Linked DNA regions of Arabidopsis thaliana. The protein of the gene in region 4 interacts with the protein of the main gene of each other region in a pairwise test. Each region holds a gene or a part of one and is shown on either strand. Other genes may lie near its edges. The genes, in order: LRL1, HMGA, AT2G01818 and AT2G31730.

The links.
Region 1: the proteins of AT2G31730 (region 4) and LRL1 interact in a two-hybrid assay, tested with the Arabidopsis thaliana proteins (one large-scale study listed by BioGRID).
Region 2: the proteins of AT2G31730 (region 4) and HMGA interact in a two-hybrid assay, tested with the Arabidopsis thaliana proteins (one large-scale study listed by BioGRID).
Region 3: the proteins of AT2G31730 (region 4) and AT2G01818 interact in a two-hybrid assay, tested with the Arabidopsis thaliana proteins (one large-scale study listed by BioGRID).

What each region holds. Positions count from the first base shown.
Region 1 is NC_003071.7:10,316,777-10,326,006, forward strand, and holds LRL1 (LJRHL1-like 1), read right to left. Parts: upstream 5,648-9,230; 5' UTR 5,402-5,647; coding exon 5,111-5,401; intron 5,082-5,110; exon of another isoform or gene 5,046-5,081; coding exon 4,875-5,045; intron 4,731-4,874; coding exon 4,665-4,730; intron 4,123-4,664; coding exon 4,057-4,122; intron 3,669-4,056; coding exon 3,612-3,668; intron 3,272-3,611; coding exon 2,870-3,271; 3' UTR 2,437-2,869; downstream 1-2,436. Other genes in the region: AT2G24255 (LOW protein: F-box/kelch-repeat protein), read right to left, coding at 1-287.
Region 2 is NC_003070.9:5,135,873-5,143,237, forward strand, and holds HMGA (high mobility group A), read right to left. Parts: upstream 3,596-7,365; 5' UTR 3,482-3,595; coding exon 3,398-3,481; intron 3,324-3,397; coding exon 2,793-3,323; 3' UTR 2,244-2,792; downstream 1-2,243. Other genes in the region: AT1G14890 (Plant invertase/pectin methylesterase inhibitor superfamily protein), read left to right, coding at 1,173-1,832; AT1G14910 (ENTH/ANTH/VHS superfamily protein), read right to left, coding at 4,056-4,793, 4,929-5,044, 5,133-5,211, 5,300-5,482, 5,573-5,653, 5,744-5,824, 5,899-5,964, 6,055-6,120 and 5 more. UniProt on the Arabidopsis thaliana protein: Binds A/T-rich DNA with a highly dynamic distribution into the nucleus.
Region 3 is NC_003071.7:350,334-358,728, reverse strand, and holds AT2G01818 (PLATZ transcription factor family protein), read left to right. Parts: upstream 1-3,134; 5' UTR 3,135-3,358; coding exon 3,359-3,367; intron 3,368-3,814; coding exon 3,815-4,081; intron 4,082-4,215; coding exon 4,216-4,374; intron 4,375-4,943; coding exon 4,944-5,177; 3' UTR 5,178-5,385; downstream 5,386-8,395. Other genes in the region: AT2G01820 (Leucine-rich repeat protein kinase family protein), read left to right, coding at 1-334, 521-1,065.
Region 4 is NC_003071.7:13,485,645-13,493,644, reverse strand, and holds AT2G31730 (basic helix-loop-helix (bHLH) DNA-binding superfamily protein), read left to right. Parts: upstream 1-3,965; 5' UTR 3,966-4,306; intron 4,307-4,953; exon of another isoform or gene 4,954-5,049; 5' UTR 5,050-5,051; coding exon 5,052-5,168; intron 5,169-5,277; coding exon 5,278-5,343; intron 5,344-5,420; coding exon 5,421-5,486; intron 5,487-5,572; coding exon 5,573-5,617; intron 5,618-5,694; coding exon 5,695-5,862; 3' UTR 5,863-6,095; downstream 6,096-8,000. Other genes in the region: AT2G31740 (S-adenosyl-L-methionine-dependent methyltransferases superfamily protein), read left to right, coding at 1-99, 206-289, 386-433, 520-581, 707-755, 977-1,226, 1,308-1,432, 1,525-1,605 and 4 more; AT2G31725 (FAM136A-like protein (DUF842)), read left to right, coding at 6,254-6,382, 6,804-6,941, 7,016-7,198; AT2G31720 (B3 domain protein (DUF313)), read left to right, coding at 7,670-8,000.

The DNA.
Region 1 (9,230 bases), 3.2 Mb from region 4:
GCATCGGAAAGCTGATCATCAGCAATATCAGGAGATGGACCTTCTCGAGGGTGCACATGTTTTTGCTTTCTGAAGGGAATTCGTTGAACGAGGGAAGAGAGTAACTTGGGCGTAACAAGGGAGACAAAGGAAATGTGGATCGCCACAAGCTGCAAACAGAGCGAGCATGAACAACATCGAAACAGTTGTCCCCTAGATACTTCAAGATACAGTAGCTCCTCAGGGAGCTCAGACCAGTCTGGGGTTATCGATGATGTTGATGTCTTCTTCGTTTTGGGTTCTGCCATGTTTGCTAATGGAGACAGAAAACGCTGCAATCTACGAATTTGCTAAAAAAATTCTAATTTACATTTGAATTGATTGTACAGTAAAATCGCAACAAAATATTGGGGAAAAAACCCGAAGATTCATTTGGCATAAAGAGATATGATCGTACCGTAACTTGGAGCCCAAGGTCTCTGGAGAATTTGAAGGAAGAGAGAGTGATTTTGATTAAGCTTTAAAGAAATTGAGTATACAAAGGAAGAATCGCTTCCGCTGTAGCAATTTACTGTTAGTGTCGATTGTGAAGTTTGCCCTAGACTAGTGTCGTAGACGAGAAGATTTGAGGTGGGACATGAATTGAGAAAGAGGTGGGATTCGGTTCGAGATTGAATTGGGAAATTAACCGAAGGAATTGGCCGGTTAAAATCAAGTGAAGCTGATTAAACAATTCGGGTTTTGATTTTGAATATAAAGATCACGTTTGATAGTGGATTGATAGGCAAAGCTTTGCGAGATGTATCTTTGATCATTTGGAACACGCAAAGTGTTGTGTTCTTGTTCGTTCAATTCTAAAACAAAACGATTGATTGAAAAGGTATGAGTTTGTGAAGTTTGTGCAATAGATTGCAAGGTTAAAGCGATTGGCTTTGATCGAATGGGAGCATTTCCGATACATGTAGCGCCTGGATATTCAAAAAATGGAAAATTGAAAATAGAGAGGCTGCTCGAAAACACTCAAAGTTAAAAATAATGTATTAGACTTAGGGCTTGATTGGTTCTCCCTTTACCACCCGCAAACGCTTGTTAGCGATTGACACCAATCATAGAAATCGTTAGATATCGTTTTGGACCGCTCGAAATCGCCCGTTTTTCAAAAACTCTTTTCCGCAATCGTTTGCGGTTGCGAGCGGTAGCGGTTAGGTTAAAAAAAAATATCATTTTTTAATTAAATTAAATAATTGTGGCTTCCATCCAAACTCTAATTACTATAATTAAAATAATCTAATCTTTTATATATCTGATTTTTATTAGAAAACCTTAATCAATATATTGTAATCGTATTGTCTCAATTATGGCATCCGATGAAAATCAAAATCAAGAATCAAACATAAGTATCATCTATCCTTTTATTCATTCATTACCTAGTGTAATTCTTTAACTATTTCATAGCATCGTTGTTTTTATTTTATTTTGTATTCTTTTGAGTTTTTTGATTGAATACATGTTTCGATTTGTTTTCTCGATTAGAAATCATTTGGTCGGACGAGATGATATATTGTATTTTTATTTGGTCAGAAAATCAAATTTTCTAATATTATAAATTTATCATAATATATTGTATTTTTATTTCTTTTAATAGTAATATATTATATTTATTTTGGTTATTTTTTATTTAATTACTATCGCATCCGCTGGTTTACCAGTCAAACCCCGCAAACGCACCCATTATCAAACGCTCAACCAGTCGTTCAAAACTCTTGATAACGCTTAAAACCGCAACCGTCCGTTTCCGCAAACTCCCGCAATCGCAACCGCATCCGCTGTGTTTAAACCAGTCAGGCCCTTAATTTGGAAATGTCGTTTGCTAAGATTATTTTTCTTTAAATCGATCTGTATATGAAAGAGTATGCACGTCTCAAAGTGTTTAGGAAGATATTTTCAAGAGGAAAGGCATTAAACAAAAAGAGAGTCATAAGGATATTTCAAAGATATGATAAATATATATTGAAATATTGGGTTGTATAGAGAGCAATAATTTCCTAATGGAAAGTAGGAAATATGCTAGTTTGGCAAAAGGGAATGAGGACATGAATTTTTTACATAAGAGACAGGCTTTGTTTGGGTTAGCCAAAATATTTAGGAAAAAAAAAAAGAGAAAAAAAACAAGTTTTGTTAATTAGCGAGCTAGAGTTTCCTCGATGGAATACGTTTTGGTTTCTAGGTTGTGTTCATAGATCAAAGATGTAATTTAAAAAGAAAAATTAATTTTGTAGTGTGGATTTGAGATAGACGTGTGTTGTGATAAAAAGTTAATGGTGTCAAGTTAAGAAAATGTTTTAGACTTTTTAGTATTGAGTAGGTCCATTTAAACAGACTGCTACTGTAAAATTGTTAAATGATGATTGATGTCTATAGTGAAAATGTATAGACGTACGTACCTCTTTGTTTTGTACAGAATTTGTATATTCTTCAAACTCATATCCTAATATTTAGACTTGTGCGATCCATAAACATCTAAAGTCTTGGATTCAATATTTGAGATTTGAGAGACGAGATTATAACTCCATCTCTAAGTGAAAAACCAATATACTATTTTTTTCTTTTTCTAGCCTAATATTCAGATCAACGATACCAACTTTATTTAATAAAAATAAAACATATTGCAACCATATATTTAAAAAAGAAAAAGAAATGTCCCTTGAATGGTTTTGTAGTGCGTAGGTAAAAGAACCAAAACTCTACGAAAAATATGGCTTCGTTCAGAGAACACATCAAACAACCTCAACCTCATTCTTCGTAGACTTTGACTTTATCTCCCACTTCACCCCACTTTCTCTTTGTTTTTGGTATCTCTCTGCCTAACCCCAAAAGTAAACGGCCGTTATCACGCTTTCGAAACGGATACGGCCTCTTTAACGGCGATAGAAGACGACCTCTCGGTCACGCCGTTACCGTTTAATTTCCCATTACCGCTACCCATTTTTGTACTCGTCGACTGTATGGTCATGCCAGAAAGATTGGGAGGGGAAGGACCTCCGACGTCGGCAACAGCTCCAGGGATCAAAGGGTTACGGGAGTGACACGTGGCGGTTGAGATGGCGGTGGCTAAAGAGATTGGCATGAGACAAAGACCTTTCCCTTGAAGATATTGCATGGCCGAGCCCATGTCTTCTTCCATTAGTTTGGCCACTTGATGTTCCGTCATTGTAACGCTGTCGTTGGAGTTTCCGGCCGTCTGGCTACCGCCGACCATGGCGGAGGATGCGTTCCCGTGGGATCCACCAGCCTAAGCAAAATAAAACAAAACATTTTGAAAAACAAAAAGACAAAGAAAGCGAAACCCTAAGTGATTAGTCGGCACGCGTGCTCTCTTTTATATTTCTCTATTTTAGAATTATAAAATTTGTCTTATTTGTTTTCTGTTTCTGGAAACTTTTTACATTCATTTTGTTTTCAACGTCTTGCACGATTTATCTATTTTTACACACCAAAATAATATTTTGTAAAATCTAATTAACATTATAAGAGAAAAGTGATTGTCTAATTTCTTAATTTTGTCCATTGGCTTTGATGTTTATTGAAATTTATGAAAAATGAGTACGTAGAGATAGTAATATATTAGTTACCTCGGAGATTTGAGAAGAAACGGAAGCAGCACCTCCCAATCTGCTCATGCTCAGTACCTAAAACGCATAATTAAATTCAAAACAGAATGATTAAGTACACTGGTCCACTAATTTATAACTTAAAAACATTATTTATCATGTATGTATTTATATGACATAATAATCCAGAATGTATATATAAAATTTGAGGAGGGAGCATAAGGAATTTTAGTTGCAGAGGCCCATAAATTTGATATATTGGTATGTAAAGATTGTACTAATATGTCAGCTTTTCTTTTTGTTTAATATGTCAAACTAAAAGGCAAAAAAACGAATCTTCCATCTATATTGAAGAGAATAAAATAAAACAAATTGCACTCTGTAAAAGAATTACCCCTTGTACGTATGAAAAACAAACTTAATAAAATAATAACTGTAAATATATGAGAGAGAGGGAGAGATTCACCTTGACTTGGAGTTGTAAAAACTTGACATAATCTATGATCTCATCGAGCATCGATGCCTTGTCTGTCTGTCCATTATTATACAAATAAAATACAAAAACAAAACTGTCAGAACTGAGATCCTAACTCATTTATTACTGCATTAGTTAACTTTATTATTGTAGCCTAATTAATTAATTAGCTAATCAGTGTTTAATCATTTGATTGATATATACTACTAGCTACTCCTATATATAGATAGACTACACAACCACCAATTATATGAGTAAAACAAAAAATATAAATTTACTTGTTAACTCCTGAAAGTTCTAGTTGACAGCCTAAAACTATCTCTTGAACAACTAGCTCCAAGAAAGTTCCTGATCATTTCGACACTTATTTTCATTATTTATTTTGTATTTTTTCAATTTTAGGTCTAGAAGATGAGAACTATAAATAGACGATGGAGTTTAAATTGTAAATTAGATGGAATTATGGATCGCACGAATCAAGAGTGGATGATGAATAAAATGATGGAAAGTGAAGTTTATTTTCATAATGATCCATTTAATATTTTAACTAATCTTAATTTTTGGAAACTAAACTGAAAATGAATTGAATAAAAATTTACCTTATTGCCGTTAGGAACGAGTTCTTGAAGAGCTTTCATTCTTTCCGCAATTCTCTCTCTTCGTAACTGTCCCATAAAAACATTTTTTCCAGAAAATACTCAAATCTTTTCTTCAAAAAGCTAAAAAAAATTCAATTTCGACACCTTTCTCGGTAACTGATACAAATTAATGCATCGAACAAAGTAAAATAAAAAACAAAAACAACTAACCCTTTCGGCGATACTATGAGGATCAGTTGCTTGACCTCTCCTAGCTCGGATTTTAGTCCTACTCTGCGGCGGAGCCGCCACCGTACCACCAGTAGCTGTAGACGCGCTCGCCTGAGGTTGCGTTTGCGTTTGCGTTTGTCCTTGTTGGTTCATCAATCCTCCTCCCGATCCCTATATTTCACCATAAGTCTCGTTTTCAAGAAGAGAAAAACTTAGAAAAGAGAAAGAGATTATACCTGAGGGATTTGAAAGTTAGGAAGAGATCCGGCGACGGAGAAGCCATTATAAAGAGCGTGGACGGAGGAGCCATCATTCAAAGGCATCATCATGATCGGCTGATTCCTTGAGTCGACATCGTGGCCGTGGAAGCCATCGGAGGGAAGAGGATGAGCATCATCGACGACGGAGGGCCACGGGGCCGAGGAAAAGATTTGATCGAGGAAGTCTTCGTGGTCGAAAGTTGTTGATGGAGTTTGGATATGGGAAGAAGATGAAGAAGAAGGAGTTAGAAGAGAAGAGTTCATCATGATGATGATGGGTTTCTTCTGCTTCTACACTTTTTTTTGGGAAGAGGTTGAAAAATGTTGAGGTTTATAGCTTTATTATAAAGCAGAATTGTTGTAGTCTTGTAGATATATTATTTTAATTTTAGGTTTTAATTATCATTTTTGGTGATATATTATTAAAACCTTAAAAGAACTTTTGTTTTTCTATTGTGGTTAGCAACCCATATTATATCGTGATGATGAATCGATGATTATCATCTTTTGTTTCGTTTCCGTCTTAAACTTTGGTTTCTCTTTACCCCAAATCTTAATCATTATTTTTTACAGCTTAATACGTATGAAAATAAGTCTTTTTTTAATGTACATATTGCTATCTAAAGAGTTTTATTTGATTATACTTTTTCAGATGCAAACTAGTTTTATTTTACTATACAAATATATATTAAACATTGATGGATAAGAAGTTTATTTATATGGTGCTAAGTGTAATAGCTAGCTTTTGTATACAATTATAGTTTTCTTAGATAACATTTATTGTTTAGCAATTTTATTATTTTTGTGTTTTCATGTAGTTTAATGATTTGTTTTGTTGTTGTAAAATAAATGTTGTTTTCATTTTTCTATACAAAAATTAAATATATTTAATATTTTTGATCAATTATATTTTGTTACATATTTTTTATTAATTAAATTAGGTGTAATTAATAATGTTTTTATAGAAAGGAAATAATTTAAATGAGATTTTTGTGTTTTGTTAATATGTGTAAAAAATCTTATATAAATATTATACTGTATATGGGTGATGATGGCATGCCCGTGATTATTAGTGCCTTTCTTACGTTTCAATTGTGGCTTCTAAAAATTTTACATGGACCAAGGAGTTACCTAATTAGTCCCACCAAAAACCAAATACAAGGAGGATATCCTTGTCCAATCCTAGATCTGATCGATTAAATAGAGGCTTGGATATTCACTCAAAAGGTTTTCCTAAGAAGTTGATTAACCATTTGGGTGGAATTCAAAATGTTCGAGCCATTTAGCCGGATAAACGTGAATTTATCCGAACCATACCAAAATCAAAAATACTTACTTACCCATTGAAAAATCCATTCGACCTAACGACGTTAACCTATTTTTTTTCTTTTCAGAGAGTACATCATTTTAAGGAGAATGATGAAACCAAACGACCCTTTGGATCGATGGAATTCAAGAGATGTACATTGGAGCTACCCAAAATGGTCTCGGACCACCTAAGTGTTACCCAATGATTAATCTAGCTACTTGACTATCTACAGATATACCTTAACTTCAAAATTCACTGGAAAACCAACCATTTTAATGAGAATGATCAAAAAATATTGGCTTTGGATTAAAGTAATTTAGGAGATGGTTAAAAGAGCACAGCCGCTGGTCGTTTACCCATATCTATGACCAGTTTCCAACCCATTTACTTCTAGCCCGACCAAAAACACTTGTAGTCCATCTTGGTAAGCTAATTAGTTTTACATGGTACTGCAAATTTGTTCACACACACATGGTGCATTTGTTCAACTCATATATACGAATGTTAAATAAGTTTTAAAATTGTAAATAAGTTTCTCATTATATAAAAATTTAGAATTTTCCGCAATTGATCATTAACTGAATTATGTATAGTACAAAATTACTCATAAAATGAAACATATTATATATTTATTAATACAATCCGAGAATGAAATATTACATTCATGTTTTAATAATCTTTTCACGATGATAATTGACAATGGTCTAAAATTATAAACTCGAGCAGGTACATTCATCAATGATGCTAGAGCTCTCGAAATTCTACTGTTTTTTTCTATGCCCCCAAGATCACAAACATCCTATCCCAAAGACGATACTCGTAAATTAATAATTACAAAATATGATAATAACTTTTTAAAATGAAATTCCCTATCAATATGATAACTTATCTTTTGAGCTAATCACGTACGACGTGGAGCTTTTTCTTTATAAATAGATAGTTATTATTCTTCTTTTTTTTTATTTTTATATGTAGCTGAAAATTTGGTATTTCTTTAGATTGTGCCACATTCACCATATACTCTTTTTGGGATAAATAATAACATTAAAATATTTGCAAACTTAATTTTTGTGTCCGGATGTTTGACACTTCTTCATTTGGATTCATTAACTAATACATTTAAGGTTTCGAGGTCTGTATTTTGTAGTCAGAAATATTGTTTTCCTCTTTTCCATTAATTGCTAACATGAACACATTTTAATGAAACAAAATCTCTCTATTCATTATATTTTTTTTATATAATTGCATTTTTTCACAATAAAGTTTTCTAATAATAAAATAAATCATAATAAATGCTTACGGGAGTTACGTCTCATTATCATAAAATATTTTTTGATTTCTTGTTAAAATATTCTTTTTGAAAAGTTATCTCAATTCATAGCTATTTTCTTAATTATAGTTATAGACAACAAAATTCGTGAAAGCATACTTATAAAAATCATATATGTGTGACTGTGTGCATGTATCTTCTCATGTTATAATGCACATTCATGCATATATGTATGTAGTGGTTCGTACCATGGAATAAGTTCATTGAAATAATATTCCCAAGTCAGAATTCTTTCAAAAATTTAACGATTAAACAAACATATATAGGCTCATCTACGTTCATGTATGTCTACGTATGTGCATGTGTGTATTGCATATTACGCATATAAATACGTATACATGCATATCGAGCTTTACAAGTTATATCCAACAATCTAAATGGACACGTCTTGTGTTGGCGTGTTCACTTTCCACTCTCCGAGTTATAGGTTTCAAAATGATAAAATTTTATTTTCGGTTAATCGATAGAATGTTACAGTTTTGTGTCACTCACAACTCACAAGTCACAATTTGGTCAATTAATGGTCTTTAATTTAATCAATAGAATGTTACATTAGAAGCCTCAAACTTTCACGGTTCTTTCGATAGAATGTGCACATTCTCTACGGCAATTAAGAAAGCAGAACAACCCATCTTAAAACAGAAAAAAAGAGTATAACAACCCATAATCATTGTTAAATTGTTATATCAATATTTTTATGAACAAAATCAAACCATAGTTATATTAAAGGTTTGTTAGAAAGATAAACAATATTGGAAGATAAGTTAACTTCAGTTAGGAGGTTTTATTGGTTTATAATTTTTACAATTTTTTTTGATAACTTTAGTAATATCATAGAAGATAAATAAATTAATGAAAGATTCTAAACTATTGGTAGAGAGTTTTTATAATATTATTGATTAATTTTTTACAATTTTGTAAACTTTTTTTAACAATCTCTATTTTGATATTGGTCGACAAATGTCCATGTCTACATAAACCAATAACACAATAATTTAATTGATTAACAATCATACATTTTTTTGTTTCAATTAAATAACAATGACTTTATAAAAGTATGAATCCAATAACTTTAGTTTTATAAAGATTTTAGATAATTTTTAAAAAGTTTTAAACTGTTAACACCAAACCTTAATAAACTTTAAAATTTTTTTGATTAAGTAACAACAAATTTTACGTAATATTTTAAGTCATTAAAAATTTATTTAGATCATAAACAAAAGAGGTGTAGATTTGAGTATGAAACAAGTACATATTGGTCCAAATAAACTAGATTTTGTTTTTGCCAGGAAACCAATGCAACATATAAGTATTTGTTCTTCAGTATATATATGGAAGATATATATTTATATAAATAGTATATTTAAATGGGATTAGTCTTATTTAAGAAGAAATATTCATATTCTGCGTGATTAAGCACATGGGACATTCTGTGTTTGCACAAACTCACAAGGGAG
Region 2 (7,365 bases), on a different chromosome or scaffold from region 4:
ATTCTATTATAATGATTAATGCATAGTTAAAAAATTTACTAAGATATGAAGGCTTCAAATTCAATCATATACATATTTGGTAATCATATATGAATATTACTAATATTGATTTTTATTACTAACCAAGCATATAATATATGTTAACACATAACATGAATGAGAATGGTTTAAACGTTACTAATCAAATCCTATGTATGTAATAAATAATAATATATTTAGTCGGCTACCTCCCCACTATAGTCTATAAACTATATAGTACACACTCATTTTTTTCTAAAAGTGGCATTTTAAGTGGACTTTTCTTCTTAAGAAGCATGGTGTGGATCGTTTACTAAAACGATCATGTCATCATTTTCTTCTCTTTCATATATAGCATTAGATCAGAACGCTACAATTTTTCTAATAAAATTCCAAATTATATTGATACTCTCTAGGGTTCCTAGTTCTACAAAGTAAGTTCAAAAATTCAAACAATTCGAGTCATATATTTGTCTCTTGAATCTTGATATAACAGATTCAACACTAAAAATGAGTAAAATCTAAAAAAGGTGTCTATTTAGAAAGAGGAAAAAAAAGACATTGTTATTCAATGAGTTGGAGCATTTTGAGAAAACTATTAGTACAATGTTAATAATCACGCGTGCAGATATTTTCTTCTCGGATAATTTACTTTTATTTAGCAGAATTATTGATTGTAGGCGAATCTCCACATACTCCATCCATAACTTGGTGAGTCCCATCATAGTATTCACCGTACGATCCTTTCGTGGTCGATATTGCAACTGAGGAGTAATGTCCACCCAAAATCTCACTTGCGACCCATACCTAGTTCAACATTTGTGTTCATACTCGACATTTATAAACAAAAGTGCATACAAAATATAGTTATAAAAATGAAGTGTTATGGATATTTTTTTAACCGTTGATATGTTATGAACATATTTTCTTATAAAATTTAAATATATATGGGATAGATAACCATAAAGAATGCAGTTCCTTTTAAGGTACGGCTAAGATAGTGAATCTACCAAGCCTTCCTTTTCACACCAACTATGGATAAAATACACCCGACAAAATGATTAGTGGCCATAATGTGATTATAATGAGCATGAATGGGCAAACATGTCACATTTCTCCATTACTCAATGTCTACATAAACCCTCCAATCTCACATGTTAACTCGAAACAAAGAAGAAATAAACAGAGTAAAAAACTTAAAGCTTAAAATGGGGAGGCAGCTTTATACGACGACGGTTCTCTACTTAGTCACCCTACTCTTCATTTGCCGGACAATCTCAGCCGTCCGTTTCCCTCCGGAACAACCAACAACCGATGATCTAGATTTCATCCGTACGAGCTGCAACACAACGCTGTATCCAGACGTATGTTACACGTCTCTAGCTGGATACGCCTCCGCCGTCCAAGATAATCCGGCAAGGCTAGCTAAACTCGCAATCGGCGTTTCTCTCTCCCGCGCAAAATACACGGCGGCTTACCTCTCCAAACTCTCACGTCGCGCTGCCTCAGCTGCTGTCCACGACTGCGTTTCGAACGTGGGAGATGCCGTGGATCAGATGCGTGGCTCCCTAAGGCAGCTCCGAGAGATGAACCACCGTCGTCCCGGAGATCCGGCGTTTAGGTTTCAGATGAGTAACGTGCAGACGTGGATGAGCGCGGCGTTGACGGACGAGGAGACGTGTACGGATGGGGTCACGGAGGAGATGGAAGACGGAGAGACGAAGACGGCTATTTGCGATAGAGTCGCCGACGTCAAGAGGTTCACGAGTAATGCGCTCGCTCTCGTTAATACCTACGCCAACAATGGAGCCTAACTAACTAAGCTAGGTCTTGAAATTCCTAAAGTTATAAAAACACTTGTATATATATATGTGTTAAGTTGTGTGCTTAGTTTATAATGTGTATTCGAGGCTTTGAAACCGAGTTAGAACTCTGAGTTTGGGTGTTCAAATTATACATTAATCTATGTTTGATTGTATTAATATTAATATATGTCATATGTGTTTATATGGTGTGTGCTATATGAGTAATGAAGATAATTATACATGGTTTTGATGAGTAAATTTGATACATGAACCTGGTTTTTTTTTTTTTTTTTTTTTCTTTGATGAATTTGGATATGATATGGATGAATTTTGGCCATCATGTCTAAGGGGAACTGAAACCCGTGAGATGATTAGAACATCTGACTATGACCCCAAAGTTTGTCTATTAGTGGCCCACTCTAAAATCTTTACGAAAACAAGGTTTTGTCCTTTTTGTTCACGGGGATGCCAAAAAGCTTCCATACTCTGTTCACAGTTTCTATTTCAATCCCTATTGATAATGATTACACACATTCGCTTCACAGATTTTTCTAATTGAATTCCCTTTGAAATTTTCAACTCCCGCGCTGATTCCACAGTGATTCTTTCTTCTGCTAACTGTAGCATAATTAAATTAGTGACAATAATGAATGTTTAGCATTACCAATTACATAGTTTTCCCCTCATTATTAAGTGTGAAAATGAAATCAAAGCAGCAATAATTGTTCAACAAGAGAACAAAGTTTCACATAACACAATGCAGTAATAATAATAATACACAGTCGCTAATGTTATATCTTATCTCAGGACTAAGCAACAACACACACACAAATTCTAAAGTTTACAATCCAAATACTGAAAGAAATCCAAATAAATCTAATTAAGCTAAATTAAAGCACTCTCTTACTCTCTAAGAGATTCCATTTTTCAGTAACTAAAGATTCCGAAATTGCATAAGTACCGATTAATTCAGCACCCAACCGGAGCAACCACCGTCGGCTTCACCTTCGGAGGTCTCCCACGTCCCCTACGCTCACCTGTCGCCTGAGCTGCCGGTTCCGGCGCAGCAACCGTCTCCGAATCTGTTCTCGGTCTCTTCGGTGGTCGTCCTCGTGGCCTTCCAGATCCGGTAATGACCTTCTCCTGGGGAGGCTCCGATGGATCTTTCGGCTTCGGTGGACGGCCACGAGATCTAGGCGGATCTGTAGAGACGACGGTGGCAGCAACAACAGCAGCAGCAGCGGCGTCAGATTCGGCCTGAGTCTTCTGCTTCGGAGGACGGCCACGACCACGCTTAGGAGGAGCATCTGGATCTGGTTTCATATAATTGTTCTTCACCATGATTAGCTGACCGGTTTTCTTCATCTGGTTGAGATGGTAGCTGAGCAGCGTCATGTGTGACGGCGGTAGAGTTTGTTGAGTCGACTCGATGTGCTTAGCAATCGTCGTTTTGTTGCAGCCGTTCTTATCGTTCAAGGACTCAATCGCTTCCATTATCATCTAAACACAAATTTCAACCAAAATTTCAGAAACTAAATTGAGAGAGATTGAGAGATTTTAGGGGTGTACTTCACCTGAGGATAAGGTGGGAGAGAAAACGACGGAAGTTCTGATGAATGCGTATCTGAAGCTGAGCCATGGTGGAGATCGAAGGCCATGTCAAGCGTAGAGAGTGTGTGAGGTGATGAAGGAAGGAATCTGTGTGAGGAGGGATTTTAAAAAGCAATTTGGGAAAGTGGTTTTCTCATTATTCTCATATTAACTTGTAGTGTTGATCTGACGGTTGGGGTTTTCAAACTTACGGGTTGATCCAACGGCTCTGAGTTTATAGCAGCTTTCTCGAGCAGGATTACTGACGTGGACATATGGGAATGACTTCTGCTGACTATTACCCTTAAATTACCTAATTCTCCTCCAATCTTCCTTTTTTATTCAACGAATGGCCATTGGTTCAGCCTAGCTGGATTACTAGAACAGAAAACGACATACTACGTAGCGTTTTTGCTAATCATATTTCAAATTATTTTGTTAATGTAACACAATGAGTTATATATATCTTTCATTTTTTTTCCACCAATGAAAATTCATTTATATAATCAATCCCGAGGAGTCTTTCTCTATTAGCAGAACAAGATTTGCAAGACTAGAAGATGATGTGATTTTATTACTACTCACAAACAATAGAATCATATGAGACAAATAAAGCATTTTGAGAAATATACGAAGATGGGATCACAAGAAGCCCGTGCTGCCGAAGGGGTTGTTGCTGTTATGTTGCTCATGAGCACCTGCGTTTACCGGGAACTCCCCAAAACCCGTGGTGTTTTGCGGTTCTGAAACCGGGACTACTGGAAATTCCCCCAAACCGGTGGTCTTTGACGGTTCTGATACCGGGATTACTGGTAATGCCCCAAACCCAGTGGTGTTTTGTGGTGCTGAAACCGACACTACTGGAAATTCCCCAAAACCGGTGGTGTTTGATGGTTCTGAAGCCGGGGTTACTGGTAATGCCCCAAACCCAGTGATGTTTTGTGGTTCTGAAACCGGCACCACTGGAAATTCCCCAAACGCGGTGGTGTTTGGCGGTTCTGTAACCGGGACTACTGGAATCTCCCCAAAGCCGGTGGTGTTTGACGGCTCTGAAACCGGTACTGGAAATGCCCCAAAACTGGTGGTGCTTTGTGGTTCTGAAACCGGAACTATTGGAAACTCCCCAAAATCACCAAAAGGATTTGCAGGGCTGGGTGCAACCTGTAGCTGTGGCTGCTGCTCTTGTTGATGATAGGTTGGCTCATAGAGACCGAATGGGTTGTTTACGGCTGAAGGCGGTGAAACACTGTCTGAAAATGCAAACAGGTCTTGGACCTCAAACGGATTGGAAGCTGGGACGCCATAGGCAGGCTGTTGGGCTGCTCTCAAGGCTCCATCGTCATATAGACTGTTCAGGGTGAGCGTGTCTAATCCACCCGCCTTGCATTTGTTGCAGAAAAAAATGTTAATGATTCAGAAGCCACAAAATCAATTCCCCAGAGGTGACATACGTTAACAGGACAATGGTACGTAATTGATGCATCCCATTATCACTAATACAAGAATACATCTTACCAGCTGTCTCTCTGTGGCTGCAGATATATCATTGCTAGGTGTTGTGACCAACGCAAGCTCCCATCCTGACGGATCCAAATCTCTTGCTTGCCCAAAACTAAACGGCGAAGAATCAACTGGAAACAGAAACATAACCAGAATTGCGACTAAAGACAAGCAAGAAAGGCAAACTTAGAGCTCCAGTACATAGACCAAGAAGCTCACCATCATTGGAAACTAAGGCCAAAGCTAGTGCATTTTGGTCCAGGATTGCTAACGGATCAGGTGTATCATCATGCAGACCCTGTGTGTAATACTGAGAGAATCAGAGACAAAAGGATAACAATGACAGAATAAAGAAATCAAGACCATATGTAATAAGCATAATTTACCAATAGATCATCAGTATCAATGAAGTTCTGTGGAGTTTCTACTGAAGGAGGAGACTGGGAAGAAAGTTGCGTTTCTTCAGAGGGAACAACGGCACTATCTGAAGGCGATGATGTTTCATGTTCTTCATGTGAAGGTCCAACATCTTCAGAAGTAAGACCATCATCAGGCGTATAGGTCAGAAGCTGTATGTTGACAAAGTTTTTAGAAATAAGTTATAAAAGAAAAATCATGGTTTCTGTAGGAGTAGGACCACAATGAGAGTATATATGTACCAGTGGCCCAGATGTGACGTCGACCATCTGAGGTGCGTCTCTCATATATTCCTCCATTGTTGTAAGAAAAGATTGTGGAGGCTTGAAAAAAACAAAAATAGACTTATTTAGTATTGATAAAGTACCTGCCATCACAAATTTAAATGTAACAAACAAGTTATTATCTGATACCTCTCTTAAAACAGGAAACTGGAAATTCCTTGCAAGTTCTAATCCTTTGCATACTTCATAGAAGGCAGAAAGGTTGCCAGCCTGCATTGATAAACTAACCCTTGTTAAGTGAAATCTAAATTGATCTAACAGAGAAAATAACCCAACAACATTACCTGCAAACCCGCACGCTTGTATATTTCAAGGGCCTTGATGGCCTCATGTCTTGGCATTTCAAAGAACTGCAATATATGCATGTATAAAACAGTAAGAAATCAAAAAACACATGAAGGGAGAGAGTAACTCTGGGGGAAAAGAAAAAACTGGCCTACCTTCTCTACTAGATTGATAATTCCTTCATTGATGGCACAATACACTTTAAAACTCTCCTTCAATACCTGCATACACAATTTACAATAAGATCTCAGAGCTTAAATCAAGCTGTTCTTTCCAGATAGTATATATTTGACACAACACTAAGAACTAGCGGATATATGTAAATTATGCCCCCGAGTTTAGTTTAATGTACCAGGGAGAGTGCATATTGAATGATATGATTGTGCTTAGCAGCACCTTCTGGCTGAAAAAGTCGAAAGAGCAAAGTCAGTTCATACGTCAGGAAAAGCTTCTCCAACTTAATAGAAAATAATACGGGATTTACAAAACATAGTGCACGACTCGGGAAATGACATCAAAGAAGCACCTTACAACCAATGAGACGATGCAGAAGCTGTTGTAAAGCTGGCAACTGTTCCAAGAGTTTTTCACCATCTAAATCCCTTGTTTTGCTATACCCCTGTTCATTTCCAAAATCGAATACCCTCAGGAAGGAAAGGAGATAATATAAGGCCAGAAAACCAAGTAAAACGCAAATTTGATACCTTCTCCTGCCCTGGGGAAACTTTTGGAAGACGTTCAGCCTCGATGTCATATTTCAGAACCCTGAAGCATTCAAGCCGTTCCTCAAGAAACAACGCATAAGTGCGTACCCACCCTGAACAATCCCATGCTGTAAGCAAGCATAAAGCAAATACCATATCAACAATAACTCTATGCAGAAACCTTGAATGAACCTCATTTGCTTCTAAAAACACATAGACCCGTGAATGTAGCAGTAAGGACTCACCGACTGGGCTAGAGTCATCCTTGAAATTAGAAATTTGCATAATGCGTCCTTTTTGCGAAAAATTCAATAGCTCCTCTCTAAATGTCGGATCACCATCCCTCAGAAGCCGGTGTATAACTAGCAGTGCTTTTAATGCAACCTGTTGAAGCAAAACACACAATAAAATAGCCAACAGAAAGAATGAGAAACCTAACCAAAGCTATCTACACCAATTTGAAACAATGACTGAATCGATCCTCAGAATTTCACACCCTAAAACATACAGAGGATGAAAGTGAACACATCTAATCATACTAAACGCTGCAAATTACTATAATCACTATCTTCCCTAAAAGATTCAGATCATAATCCGAGAAAGAGCAAATCAATTACCGTCCAATTTCTGGTTTTGTGTAATCGTCGGGAGAGAGCATGAATGCAGTAAGCAACATCTGCTCGAGGCCTAATCGCTGACGTTGCGAGGAAAATTTCTGTAACAATTCACAGAGAATAAGATATTTAGAAAAACAATAAACAA
Region 3 (8,395 bases), about 13 Mb from region 4:
GACGGGAACGAGAGGCTTCTTGTCTACGAGTACATGCCACAGGGGACACTAAGTCAGCATTTGTTCCACTGGAAAGAGGAAGGGCGAAAACCGTTAGACTGGACTAGACGGCTGGCGATTGCATTGGATGTAGCTCGAGGTGTCGAGTATCTGCACACACTTGCGCATCAGAGCTTTATCCATAGGGATCTAAAGCCATCAAACATCCTTCTTGGTGATGATATGCGCGCTAAAGTCTCTGACTTTGGGTTAGTACGTTTAGCCCCTGATGGCAAATACTCCATTGAGACTCGAGTAGCTGGGACTTTCGGATACCTTGCCCCAGAATACGCAGGTTTGTACTTACCCAAATTTTAAAGTCTCTGCCTTTCAATTGATTTGCACTTGCCCAGTGTCAAAGTTTCATACTTTGGCCGTTTTGCACTTAAATTTTCATGCTTTGATCTTATTGCATTTTCCTAAATGTTATAGTTTCATCCTTTGATCGTTTGGCAATTGTTCTATACTCTGATTTTGGCAGTGACGGGAAGAGTGACGACCAAGGTAGACATTTTCAGCCTTGGGGTCATACTTATGGAGCTAATCACTGGTCGTAAAGCCCTAGACGAGACGCAACCCGAAGACAGCGTCCATCTAGTCACATGGTTCCGTCGGGTAGCAGCCAGCAAAGACGAAAATGCCTTCAAAAACGCAATAGACCCAAACATCAGCCTCGACGACGATACCGTAGCCAGTATTGAAAAAGTCTGGGAGCTTGCTGGTCATTGCTGTGCCCGTGAGCCTTACCAAAGACCTGACATGGCTCACATCGTTAACGTCCTTTCTTCACTCACCGTCCAATGGAAACCAACTGAGACCGACCCTGATGACGTCTATGGGATAGACTACGATATGCCGCTTCCGCAGGTGCTTAAGAAATGGCAAGCTTTCGAGGGACTAAGCCAGACCGCGGATGACTCGGGATCTTCGTCTTCGGCTTATGGAAGCAAAGACAATACGCAGACAAGTATCCCAACTCGCCCATCTGGATTTGCTGACTCGTTCACTTCTGTGGATGGACGTTGAAAAAATCAAGATTGCGTAAAACGTTTTAGTAGAAGAAGAAGATGAAGCATTGTGTGATAAATCTCTCTCTCGCTCTCCCTTTTTTTGCTTTTCTCTGAAGCATATTTACTTATGACTTCGTTTTTATCTACTGCAAGCTTTTGGTTAGTGTATTTATCTATCTACTTTGTGTAGTTTTTATGCAAAGATAACAATCTTTGAGTTCTTAAAATTTTAATATTTCGTCAGTAAAATCCAACTCATAAACCGTAAAAGCTGAACCAAACAGTATTTTGAACTCACTGCGGTTTAAGTTATTAACATGTGTTTAGGGGTTTAAGCAAGTAGATTACTATAAGTACACTTTCTATGAGAAATCATTTTGTATTCCAAGCCCACAAGTCCAATAAAGCCATGTGTTTATGGGTTTGGACTTTGGACCATACACCCACTGGAATATCAAAGCAGTCTCCGTATTCATTCAATTTGCTATGAGCCAGTTGGTCCTTCCCTTCTAATGAAATACATGATTTTGGTGTCCCTCATTTTATAAAGCACACTGTCCAATCCAATCTTCATAATATTAAGCATCTACTATTTAGGTTCACTGATCATATGATATAAAATCTAAACATCAAAGGTGACACCAATAATTGGAACTAAGTTAGGCAAACTTAACCGTTTACATGTAAGGAACCAATTATCACTTATAAACCATTCACAGCTTTTGATGTAGTTAAAAAAGATTAGATATGAGCTCCAATATAATGCAGATTCAACAACAAAAACAATACTAGAGTTATATACTCATATGTCACTAATTATTTTAGATATATATTGATAAGTTTGTATAATTATTAACTTATAATATTGATGTGATCATACATTTAATACATAATTTTAAAAATATATATTATTTTATTATCTTATGGATTTGTATTCAATATTACACTAGATTAATTCAAGAACAAAAAATAAAGTTAGGGTTAAGACATCATTGAGTCACCATGCCAAGTGGTATGTTCATTTTTGTTGTATTTCTTCTAATCTTTCATCCAGTGCTACTATCAGCATAGATCAACAACGTTGAGACGAAAAATCTGTATTAAAACGTGCAAGATAAATTGAACAAACACATATTATTTCCACGTTTTAATAATCATCGCAAGTTTTTGCAAATGGTATGTATTCAACTAAATCATATTTCTAAAACGTAAAAACGTGAAAACCCGCATACGTATTATCTCGAATAGGGAAAACTTTCTGTCATATGTTGTATCGAAGATGGAATGCCATAGAAACATCTACCTAAACTTATAATTTCAATTTTATATAATCTATAAATGCTACTATGCTCATTATCAAAATACTTTACTATTACTTTCTGGTTTTAATATTCATCTTAACGATTTTCAAGTGATATACTTTTTTTTTAATTTATAAATTATGAGCAAATGATAAGATATTTTTTAGGATACTTTCAACTAAATCTGTAACAAATTTCACCAATCTATTTAAATTTCAATTGTCTATGTATGCGAACATCAAGCAATAATCTAGTCTCTCCATAAGTATAGTATGTATGTGCTGGATTTGAATTTGCCTAAGATATTATTATGTGCACTTTGGAACGGTTATTTTTGACATCAAATATTCCTATCTATGTATATGTAGAAAATGATATAATTCTAAATTTGATAAGTTGTTTCCTTGGAAATTTCGGAGTAAATATAGGAAGCTTTGCTTACCTTTATCGCACCATCTAAATTATAAAGACTTAACTTTTTGCCCCTCAAAGTCAAATTATGTCCACTCATTTTTAATTATTACAATTTGCATATTAATGACCTAATTAGTGGATTTCATTCGTATTAAAAACATACTTATCGATTTATCTAGAGACAAAACAGTAATTTAAAAGTTACACATGCTTCATATTCCCGCCTGGTATCCATTTTAGGTATTAAAGAGTCACAGTTATTGTTGACTCTGTGGACTTTTGATTTTTCCCTCATTTTTAATATTAATTGTCATTTAGTTTCCTTTTTTTTAATTTATTATTCTCCACAAAACACAATATGTAATTAATTGAAACATTCCTAATATCATTTCTTTAATATTTCGTTTGCCTTCTTCTACTATTTTTATTCACACTACAAATCAAATCACATCTCTCTTCTTCTTTTTGCTTTTGGCCTTCTTCTTCTTCTTCTTCTCCTCCAAGAACACTAAAATATTTTTGGATGATTTTGATCGGAGAAATATAAAATCTTCTCATCTGATCTATCAAAGGAACTCAGTTTCTCATACCAAAATGAATCTGGTACATGCTCATTTTTTCTTATTAATTTCTGCAGTGTTAGTTTTTGTTGTTGTTGTTGTTGAAAACAAATCCCTTCAATTCAAGTTCATAGTTTCAATATAAATTAGAAACAAGAAAATTTCTGCAAAATTTATAGTTATGATTTCTTCATATAGCCCATTTATAAATTCTTTATAAATTTCAATAAAAAGTAAAATTTCTGCAGATTCCATATCCTTCAAAAATGTAGTTTTATTTTTTTTTTCTTTTCCTAATTGTAAACTGATCTCTCTAATTCAAGTTTTAAATTTCTTCATATAAAAAAAATAAAGTCAATAAAGTTTCAAATTTGTACAGATTGTTTTTTTCCGGATAATATTCATGTTTTTTTCTTCTTCATAGTAATTCATTATAAATCATAATTAAGTTTATGCAAATCTAAAAAAGTAATAGCAATAATTTTTGTAGAGTGAGAAGAGAAGAAGTGAAGAAGTTTGGATTGAAACACTACTGAACTCAGAGTTCTTTGGGATATGTATGAATCATAAGTATCTTAGAAAGAACGAGAAGAATGTGTTTTGCATTGATTGTAATGTGGAAATATGCAGACATTGTTGTAACACAGTTACAGATTCTCATTTCCTCCATCGTCGTCTTCAGATCTGCAAATACGTTTACCAAGATGTTATTCGTCTCCTCGAAATCCAAAACTACTTCGACTGTTCCGAGATTCAGGTTTTTTTTTTCTTTAAATATCTAAATCATTCAATAATTAATAAAATAATCATTTGAATTCTTGTTTTAGAGTTCCAAATTAATGTTTTTAATTTTGGTATTGGTTGGCAATAATTTATGTATGGGGGAAAAAGACATATAAAATAAATGGAGAGAAGGCAATACATTTGAATTCAAGGCCACAAGCAAAAGATGCAAGACCTTCAACAAAAGCCAAGAATGGTGCTTCATGTGTGACTTGTAAAAGATATATTCAGGATCATCCTAATCTTTTTTGCTCTATCTCCTGCAAGGTAATTTATGGTATCTTTTGTTAAAGTTTATATTTCCCTTTGAATTGTGTTGATTAGTCTATTGGTAGTCATCTACCTTTCTTAATCTTTTATTTATTGGTAGTTATCAAACATATAAAACAATCATTTACAGAATAATCTTGAAATGATAAAAAAAAGTTAGTCTTGAGGCATATAGTTTTGACATAGTATATAGGAAAATTATGAGTGATTTGAATTGTACACATTTTCAACTGTACATTGTCTTGTTCACACTCAAAAATGTGTATAGTTTTGTTTTCGGTTAGAAGATGCGCAAATATTTTTTAAAAGTGTTTCATTTTAATACTTTTCTTAAAAATCATTGTTTTGAAATTACAATATATAATTTCGAAAAACGTAATCTACATTAACAAGTATCATTTAATACAAATTGAAATCACTTAATACATGTGAGTTGTATAAACACGCTTTAAAACGTTAAATTTGCGTATATTGTTTGAAGTCAAATATAAGAATTTGCTTTTGAGTTTAGAGCATGCTCTCTAATAGTTGAAAGACATTTTTTTTAATATATTTTCTTTTTGTAGATTTCAACTCCTTCAAAAAAGCATAAATTTTGTTTTTCTCCAAAACTAGAACAGAGTGTTTTGGAGAAAGAACACTCTACTCAAGAAGGAAGCTTAGAAGAAAAAAAATCGTGCACATCGTCCCTCACTGATGTTTCAGAAGATTCTGAAGTTTTATTGAGTGATTTTTCATTTAGACCACTCTTGAGAATACTCAAGAGAAAAGGAATTTCTCGAAGATCTCCTTTCTATTGATTTTTTTTTTTCTTTGGATTTGTCATCAAAGCCATACATTATGTGTATTTTATCTATGAAAAAGATATTATATCGGCTATCAATATTATTTTAACAAGTTAATAAGTTTTGATGAGAAATAGTGATGTTTTATTTTTTTGCTAATAGGCTAAAAAAATAGTGATACAAAGAAAAATAATAATAGTGATGTGTAATGCGTATGTATGAGTGATTTATTTATTATTCATCATGGAGAAAAGAGAGAGAGATATGGGCCCAAAAAGTTTTTTTGGTTCATGAGAATGAGATTGTGTTGATTCACTGGAACCCACAGTTTTAATGAAATACAATATATAAAAATGAATATTATGCAATATTCTTAACGCTTTTTGGGATGAATTGATAGATACACGTTGTAATGACAAATGATGGTATCATTCGTCGTAGACTGAGGTTCCGAATGCAGGCCGAACGGTATGATGTGGTGCGGTTCGAACAGTAACAAAAATATATATATATATATGTAAATATTTTTGTTATTATTAGAACCGCACTGCATTTTATCCACAGTTAAACCGCACGTTACCATTCGGAGCCAAGTCATAATTTTTCTACGATATTATCATTTGTAAAAATTACATGGTTTGGTAAACTTCTCCATATTTCAATTCCTATTCCTGTATTTTTGCAACATTCTCTTTTTGGTTTATAATAAAAATGAAAAATTATACGATTCAACACTCCATTTAAGTTATTCGGGCTAACGAGTTTACCATTTTATGTAGTAGTTTTTCTTCTTCTTTAAATTAACGACTTTTCAATATGTCAATATGCATTGTTACAAATTGGAGCAATGGCCCGTAGTTGTTATCGTGACTTTTTGGGTGTTTAGCAAATGTGTCATTTTCCGTAAAAAAAGAATAAAGTATCAAGTATATGAGAAAATTCCATGATCATTGGTGTATATCACAAAGACTAAATATAAATCATTCTTTAACAGAAGTATACGAAGATATAGCGTACATTTTAACAAATGAATGAATGATCATGATAATGGGTCTATGGCAACTTGTTTTACATATTTTTCATATCAAACAACTTTATTTTTTCTTTTAAATAGTATTACCTATCATTATCATTTCTTCTATTTATTGTAGATCTTTGAATATACTAATGTTAATATTTCATAACTAAAGAGATAGAACCGAGATTGACAAACAGAAAAATGAAGCACGGAAGCATCACGATTCACGATTATGATACATAATATAGATTTAATTATTATTTTTTTGTGAAAGAATATAAGTTTAACTTGATATTTATGCTATAATTTATAAAATATCTGAAATTGAGGACACCATAAAAGTTTTTTATGTTACTTGTAAATACCACCATAAAAAAATATTATCACACCTAACAAGTATCTAAGTATATACAAATTTGTTTATTTAATTACAAAGCTGAAAATAGGACTGGGCAAAAAATCCGGAACCGAGAACCCGAACCGAAATCGATCTGAAAAATTAGATTCGAAACCGAACCCCAATCCAAAAATTTACCTTATTGGATCCTAAATTCCTCTACCCAAAAAACCGAATCCAAACCCGACCCGAATCCAAAAATACCCGAAAATCTAAATTTTACCCGAAACCCGAAATTTTACCCGAAAATCCGGGTATTTACCTGAAAAATCTGGGTATTTATCCAAAAATTCGGGTATTGGTTCCAATTTAGGCCCAAAAATCTATATCCGAACCGACTCGAATCCGATTAGATCCGAATCGAAACCAAACCGATATTTTAGATTTATCTTATTAGATTCTAAATTTTTCTACCCAAAATACTCGTACCCGATCGGGTTTTACCCGAATCCAACCCGCTTACCCGAATGCCCGCCCCTAGCTGAAAACTCTAATAAAAAGATGAACATATACTTGCTTTTAATATTATGTAATACATAAATTTTTATTTAAAGATATTTTGATGAGAAATTTTCTTAATTGTGTTAGTTAGAAAGAATAAAACATTTTAGAAAACAAGAAAAATAAATATTGACCACCTGGGGCTCACTAGTCAACATGGAGCGTTTATTGGGGCCAGAGACCTTTGTCGCGTATCTTTGTCTTGAACAAAAATGAAATTAAACAAAACCAAAACAATACCATAATCATCTTTAAAACCAACTCAACAACAAAAAAAAAAATCTTTAATCATATAGCATCCTCGTCTTATGGCTGGATCACTGTTCTTGATAATTATTGAGTCGCATTATCAAGCCAAAAAAAATCAATAATAGATAAAGAAGAATGATGGTCATAATGTTTTGGCAGCAAAATCCACTTTAGAAAATTAGAATATCAAATAGAAGTAAAAGTAATGCAGGAAAAAAAAACTATTAATTGGGTATGATTATGGCAGACAAAAAGTTAAGAATAAAAGAGGAATGCTGTGAGCCAATTGGAGGATATATATCACAGATTTAACTGAAGGAGACGAGAGAATAATAATAATGCATGTGCTTTTCAATCTCAATGTTATGCATGTTCCACATGCCATGTATAACAACATCTCTCTTCATTGACAAATAAAACTCTTCAAATCTTCCAATGTTTCTTCTAAGCTTCCAATTCAGCAACCACCTCTTAGTTCGTGCCAATCACGTGTTGAGTTCTCCACTACATCTCCATGTCCTCAAAGCGAATGTGTTAACTCTCGCATCTTCACAACTAACTAGTATATATGACTTGAATATGCTGAAAATCAAACCTATGGTAAACAGGCTTCATCATGTATGATGTCAGTATATAAAATTCATGAAATCAATTGGTGTAGTTGGTATTGGTTCAATTGGTGTAGGTGAGCTCCTGGGTGCTATGGCAAGGTTTCCTGAATGTTGAATAGAGGCGACACATAGATCTAAGTGTTTTTTTTGCGTTAGTTTTCGGAGAAGTCTTACACTTCTATCTTTGAGGTTTTGTGGACGGGCCTCAGATAGTTAGCTTCGTGGCAACAACGATGAGGATTCCAAGTTTCGGTTTTATGGCAATCACACAAATGTCCGGGTTTCACGAATTCGGAATCGGTGTTTCACTTTGCGACTTGGCCATTTTTCACTATGTTTCGATCCGAATCTTTTTGAGTAGTAATATTGTCTTAAATTTTCTGTAGTGCTTTTATCCGTTTCTACTTTTCTTTGTAACTTCTGTCACAAATCAAAAATGGTATAAAATTTCACTTTT
Region 4 (8,000 bases):
GGCCAAGGAAGCAATTTCAGTTATAGGGCCGTGCTTCTTGATGCTCAGAAACAAACTGAGCCATTTGTATATTATTGTGGTGTTTTTCTTGTCCCCAAGGTAAGCTTTGTCAACATCATAAATCCTTAATATTTAAGTTCTGGAAATTGCTGTGAATATATTGTTTAATTTTGTTTGATCTATTAAAAGGAGTGTTAAATTTCAGACTCGTGCTCATGAGTGGCTGTTCTGTTCAGAAGAAGGACAGTGGCAGGTTGTCGAGAGTTCTCAGGCCGCTCGTCTCATAATGGTAAGCTTTTTATGGTAAAACCTCTTTATATACACCATGTTACCGTGATCTATTTTCGGCATGAGATTCTAAACACATCTTAATTTCTTGATGAAGGTTTTTCTCGACAGTAGCCATAGTGGAGCCACCATGGAGGATATCCAGGTAGGTACTATCTACATTTTGAGTTGTCTGATGCATTATGTTGTTTACTTATTGATCGATTTTATCTGGTAACTTATTCATCTCAGAATGATTTATCTCCAATGGTGACACAACTAGCTCCCAGAAATGATGATGAAGCTCGCATTCCGTATGTTTATCGGATTTTTTTTTTACTATATTCTCCATGATTTTTGGTGCAACAGTAATCCTAACTCATTTTGTTTCCGCCATTATTGCTTGTTAATTAGTAGTTGAATTGAATTGGTGCTGTAGGTATATGATGGCAAGTGATGGGATAAAAAAGCGTGATACTGTCCACGAGGTATTATTACTAGATATACCCAATTAATCACTTAATAAAACTGTTATTTGTTGTCTCTTCTATTTCTCGCCTTTCACAAATATGATCATCGTTTCCTTTATTGATCTCCGTGATTAGACTTTTATCCACCACTATTTTAGCAAATTTTAATACTACTGATTGGTTAGAATACGTAGTTATGGGGATCTTTTTTGTTTCTTACTATTCATTTCGATTTGTAGGTTACATCTCCTATGACTGGGAAAGTGGTTGTTGAAGATGTGGTTTATGAAAGCGCTCCTAGTAATTTAGAAGACTTGTCTACTTCTAGTGATTTGGCATTTCGACGACTTGTATTCAAAAGGACTGAGGGTTTGATACAGTCTGAAGCTTTGCTTGTAGAGGATGGTGAGATTCTTGAACAGTCTCAGAAAGAAAAAACTAAAAATGTTTCCCAATCGAAGCGAAAGGGAAATAAAAAGCAAAACCAAGGTAAAAATCGTACTTCTGTAAGTGTTTTGATACATTTCAGGTGAAAAGTTTCATGATCTTTTTTACATGTATCCATTTCAGAACCGAGCAGGCCTCTTATGAGGGTCTCTCATGATTATCTGGCTAGCTCTTACCACACTGGAATTATTTCTGGATTCACATTGGTATCTTCCTACTTGAAGAAGGCTGAGTCATGCGGAACGATGGTGAGCATTATTAAGTTGTGGCCTCACGGTGCAACCGATCTGAATCTTTTCTTTGCCTTGTACTGATCCAGAAATGTTCTGATGCTTTTCAGGTTAAGACTGTTGTAATTGGTCTTGGAGCAGGATTACTTCCCATGTTCCTCCATGGATGCTTGCCATTTTTCAGTATTGAGGTAATTTCAGTTTAAAGGATTAATCAAGTTGAGTATTTTCTATTGCCACTCATATTCTGTATCCTGTTGAATAGGCGGTTGAGCTTGACCCAGTAATGCTTAGTGTTGGCAAGGATTACTTTGGTTTCACACAAAATGATCGCTTGAAGGTAAAATTCTCCCTCTTTACAACAAAAGTGCTGGCTAAACTTTAACATGTTTATATTCTATTCTATTATATGCACCATCACTCAGCTCGTTCGCATTCTTATAATAGGTGCATATTGCTGATGGGATCAAATTCATTAGAGATATAACAAACTCTGAAGCTTCGTCTGAGGAATCGTCAAACATTGGCTCAAATGGAGATTCAACCACTCACAATACACAAGGTGGAATTTGTCCTGACATTTTAATTATAGATGTGGATTCAGCAGATTCAAGGTAAAAGACATGGCAAGTAAATTCACATATCTATGAATTTACCCACATGGTAAGCCTGATTGTTTTCTTGTTTGATCTCTTGTCTGCAGCGGCGGATTAACCTGCCCTGCATCTGATTTTATCGAAGAGACATTTCTTCTTTCGGTTAAGCAAGCTCTCCCTCAGCACGGTCTTTTCATAGTGAATTTGGTCACGAGATCACAGTCCGTCAAAGATATGGTAGTATCAAGAATGAAAAAGGTAAAGCAAATGTGATTCATTCCTTGTAAATTCTCTGCATATTTTCACAAATCTGATCTGATACTATTGCACGGAAATTGAGTCATAGAATTGATCTCTATTGTTTTGTTTTTTGCCAAGGTTTTCGATCATTTATTTGGCCTGCAACTAGAAGAGGAAGATGACGTAAACGTAGTGCTCTTTGGGCTTTGCTCTGAATCTGTAATCAGCGAGAACGATATTCCAGAATCTGCAGTTATACTGGAGGGATTGCTCAAGTGCCAGAGATTGGAAACGAAGCAAAGCATCATAGACGCTACAAAGAAGCTGAAATGCTGGAAATAAAAACATTCTTTATTATTTCGTTTTAAAAAGACGTGTGAGATATATTTCTGTTATAAGTTAAGATTGAAATTTTTGAGACTATATTATATACAATACACCTAGTTTCGTCCATACGCAAATGGAAAATGAAGCGTGGAGTTTTTTTCATAACCTTTATGATTGTTAGACCTACCAACTTATTGAAGCATTCAATTTGGATGATAGTGAAGTTGGAATGTAAGTTAAACATCAATGTCTTGATTAATTTTGTGCATTTTTGGGAACTATCCGTATTGTTTCTGATTTGAGTGATCTTCCTTATTGTTGCTAAGAAATGCTCGAATGGTGATTAGCATAATTGCTGTTTATTCATTGGAGCTATAATAATTATGGTTGTAATATTGTAATTTGGGAAAGAAAGCCTTTGATACAGGCCGATTTTGGTACGTACGTAAGAGAGATATAAATTGAAACACCTAAACCAAAATCTGGTCGCCGCGAAGACAAAAGAAAAACATTTGTGGCAAAGAAACAAATTCAGAAACCGCGTGGGTCCGATATGGAACGCTGATCAATTGGACATTTGTAAACATTTCAAATATTTTGCATGTAATCAATATTGTTGTTATATTTTTTGCCTTTTAGTTATAGTTAGGTTTGTTTTTTCTGTTTGTTTGGTTAGATTCAACTATTTGTTTATGCTTTTCAATTTTGGGTTAGTATTTAGCTGTTTACTTTGGAGAAACAAAAGAAGATAGATTCTGTTCCATATAAACAAAAAGCTGTGTCGTTGAAACTTGAAAATGTGAATATACTCGGATATCAACCAAAGGGTACGCTGCATTAACCAACCTCCCTCGTAGAAAATTTCAAAGAAAGGATAACAAAACAAGAAAAAGCACAAAGTTGAAAAAGAAGTGACAGATGCAGAAGAATTGGTCAAAATCATTTTGACAAAACTACATAAAAAACAATCAAATGTCACTTTCAAAATTATTAGCTTATTTATTATTTTATTATGAAAATAATGAAAGCGACTTCTATCTGGGACTGGTAAAAGGACCTCTCTCACCATTGGTTGTACATTAGCTGTCAAATTTTTACATTTCCATTACATTCCCTAACTCCAAATATATACACTAAACTAAATTCTTCAAGTTACTTCCTAATTACTACTATAGTAATTATTTCCTAACCGTCAAATAGTACTGAATAACACATATAATATAGTTTCGATTGATTAAGAGATTTGAATTAAACAGAATAAAGTTTTACGATTATATATTCTAACAATTTATTTGTCTCACAAAAAAATCTATAGATTTAATGAGAATTAAATGAAGAGGACGAAAGGAAAAACAAAATGAAGAAAAAGACATATGAAACGTAGTCCCCTCTTTTCTTTGCTTTCTTCTCTACATAAAACTAAAACTCCTCTCTTTCACGACCCTTTAAGTAACGACGCCGTTTTCATCCAAACACAAACCTCTGGAATCGTGTCACCGTTGGAGCTCCGGCTTCATTAATGGCTTTCTTCAAGACCTGAAGACAAAAGAAAGTAAAAATATATATACACTAGAGAGACCAAGATCCTCGTTTATGGGTTTCATCGTGTCTTGTGCTTAGGGTGACATAAATACCCATTTAGAGAGCTTAGACCAAGAAGTTTTAGAGTTTGTGAAGTTACTTGTTGGTTAGTCTGCTGTTTCTGGCAAATGCTGAGTCTCTTCTCTCTGTAAGTTCTTTTTTCTTCATTTACTCTGTTTTGTTCCCCATTTTTGGTCTTTTTGACTTAACTTAGAGTATTTTAAGGCAAAATAAAATCATGAATCTTTTGGTATTTTTTGTTCTCATCTTCTTGTGGGGTTTTTCTATTGAAGTTTGCTTAGCTTTGAATCTTGTCTAATGGAGCTAACTCGATCCAAAATAAAAACACGTATAATGATTAACTAGTTCTGCTCATTAGATGAACTAAATTAATGAGTTAATTCCGTAGTTTCATGCATCCTACAATGTATTGTCTATGTATGGAAGCAAAGTATGATATCATATTTAAACATCTATGATTGTGCTACTAAACTTTAAATAATACTTTAAGCTGATGTGATCTTATATGGATAACCTCTGACCATTATCTACTTTCTTTGACCATTGCTCTTGTTTTCTAATCCAAAAGTCGTATCTTCCAATGCATTAGTTGGTCCAAACCTAGATTTGCATCCCTTAATTTGTAGTAGTTAACATCTAATTTTGATGTTAAAACCAAGACACCACTTTGTTTGTCTGGTCTGAGAATATCTCAAGGCGTATAGTTTTGTCCTTATGACGCTTGCAAAAGCAAGTTGTTGAGTTGTAATCTTATGTTTTTTTCTGCAACTTGCCTTGGATGAAGCCATGAGATTATCTTTATAAATGGTAGCAAGTAAACCGGTTTCTTATGTCGAAAAACCGATCATTTTTGTTTTGTTTGATGACAAGGAATGGAATACTCTAGAGACTCGGCAGAGATGATGATGGAGACTAAGCGCAATGTCTACTCGCTTGAAGATAACAAAATTAAACGACACAAGTCATCTGATCTCTCTTTCTCTTCCAAGGTCTTGTGATACATCAAAATCAAAATTCATTGTGGCTATGAAGCTACCGGACATTTCTGTACCAGCATGCTAATGATCTTGAAACTTTGTTGTTCTGTGGTTTAAACAGGAGAGGAAAGACAAATTAGCAGAACGTATTTCAGCTCTTCAACAACTAGTTTCCCCTTACGGAAAGGTACTACTTGGTCCGAAATAATCTTTCTTACACGCTCTTTGTCTTCTCTAGCCATGTTCAAGTCTCTATCTATGCAGACCGACACTGCATCAGTTCTTCTAGAGGGAATGCAATACATTCAGTTTCTTCAAGAACAAGTCAAGGTCTGCTCAAGTTTTCTAATCAAATACTTTTCATTCATTCACCTCCTCCAATCCAATGATGATTATGCTTGATTTTCTCTGTTCAGGTTCTAAGTGCTCCTTATCTGCAAGCAACCCCTTCTACTACAGAGGTGAGCTGAATCTATGATCTGGATCTCGTTTACTTGGATCACAATGCAAGACTGATATTTTCCATCTCTGTAACTAGGAGGAAGTGGAAGAGTACAGCTTAAGAAGTAAAGGGCTATGTCTTGTTCCATTGGAGTATACATCAGAAGTTGCTCAAACCAATGGTGCTGATATTTGGGCTCCTGTGAAGACTCCAACATCTTCTCATGCTTTTAATCTCTCGTCTTCTAATTCGCCCTTTCAATGAGCTGCTGCTAAATTCTCTGTCTCAAGACTAATGAAAATTAGCCAAAGCTTTGGTCTGATCATGTATTGATGGAGAGACCTTGAAGTCGGTGATGGCTGTTTCTGTTATTTTTTACTGCTTAATCCCAACTCTGTGGTGGCTTCTTGTAACAATTGATTCTAATGCGAAGTTTAACGGACCGGTCAATGACCGGAATTAGCTTCCTGTTTAATAAAGTTTGAATTGGTGAAAAAGAGTTAACCGGTTTAGAGAAACCCGGGAAACTTAACCCGACCCAAAATTGTCAAACCCGTTTTGTTTGCGGCTATTGAAGGATCTTCTATTGAAGAGAGCAGCTAGCTAAAACCCTAAAGCCCTAAAATCAAAATTACGCTAAACAGAGAAGGCGACAATGGATCACATCGCTGCGGCGGAAGAGCAAATCGTATCGGAGAGACTTCGAAGAAAGCTTGAAGAAGTTAATGTAGCTGCTCAGACTCAGCTTTCTCCTATCCAAGATCACATCAATTTCACCCTTCAGGTATATACAAAAATCTGTACTTTTCGCGAGCTCAGCATAAATTCTCTCTGATATAACAATTTAGCAATGTTAGCTTCTGAATATGGAATCTTTATTGGTTTGATACAATGCTAGTTTCAAATTTGATGAATTGAGTAGGTTCATGAAAAAAGTCTGAAAATTTGCATTTGGGTTCGTACTATATTCGTCTTTAGACACTATGGATTAGGTTCACGACAATTGCTCTGGTTTAATTACTATATTGTGCTCTGTAGGATATTCGATAAGTAGGCGTGTCTCGTTGCATAACAATTGCTCTGCTTTGTCTTCAGAAGCATGAGAGTTATTAACACCTTCTCTTGTGTTTTTGGGTTGCTATATTGAGTTATATGATCCGTTGATTCAAATTAATTAAACCCTGACAACGATATCATTGTTGCAGCAAGCTTATTTCAAATGTGCATATGAGTGCTTTGATAGAAGAAGAAAGCAAGAGGAGATAAGTAACTGCGTCGAGCACTGCAGTGTTCCCGTTGTCAAATCTCAACAGTATTTCGAGAACGAAATGGCTCAATTTCAGGTAAAGATATCTGCTAAAAGATGATACATAGTTTGCTGTGTATAAAGACTGATTTTTGTTGAATGAATGTATAGGAAAGATTGAACAGATCACTGGTGGTGTGTCAAGACAAGTTTGAGGCCTCAAAGCTCCAGAAGATAAGGCCTGAAGCGGTTAACGAGATGGAGAGTTGTGTGCACAAATCCATTGAGGAAAATCTCAATACATTACCACATATTGTGCAGAGAATGAAGACAGCATTTAACATAACCAACTAAAAGCTCTCGTGAAAAACCTTGGATTCCAGAACTTGACTAGCCATATTGTTTGAAAAGACCTTTTCTTTTGTCTTAATATGATCTACAAATTTGTTTTCCTTTTTCTTATATTAAGTTTTAAAATTTGCCACTGTTTTGGAATAACTGTATTTGCTTGTTCTTCATCTTCCCTAGCGAAAACTTTAAAACTCTATAAAAAAAAATTGAGGATAAATACATGAATTTAAAGATTGAACCGAACAAAAGAGACTAACCAATAGAATAGAAGCAAGTAATTTAGTGAATATCTAAAACTAATATAAAAATATATAGAGATTATCACTAACAAAAAAAAATAAAAAATAATAGAGAGTTATATATACCTTTGTTCGTTTGTGAAAGGAATTGACAATCAGAATCATATAAAAGCAAGACTATAAACTCCTCTCTGCCGCTTAACTCTTTCTTCTTGTCTCTCTATTTTTTATAACAATGGTGAGAGGAGATGATCAACTTAATGGTTTGCAGGGAGGGAAGAGAGCGTTAGATATTTTATGTGTAGCGACGGAGAGAACGGTTAGCGCTTTTGCATATGAGGAAATAGGAGAAACATCCACTGAAGGTGATAAAAGGAGGGAGAGACTGAGAAGACTGAGAAGATTAATTAATTACAGTCTGAGCACAACTATGAATTCCAGCTTGAGCAAACGACTGAAGATTGATGAGTGCAAGAATCAAGACCCGGAACAAAACCCTAATCGTGTTGCTTCTTCTCCAAGTTCGTGCCATCTAGAGTCCAAGAGGCCTCAAAAAGTGGTTTCAA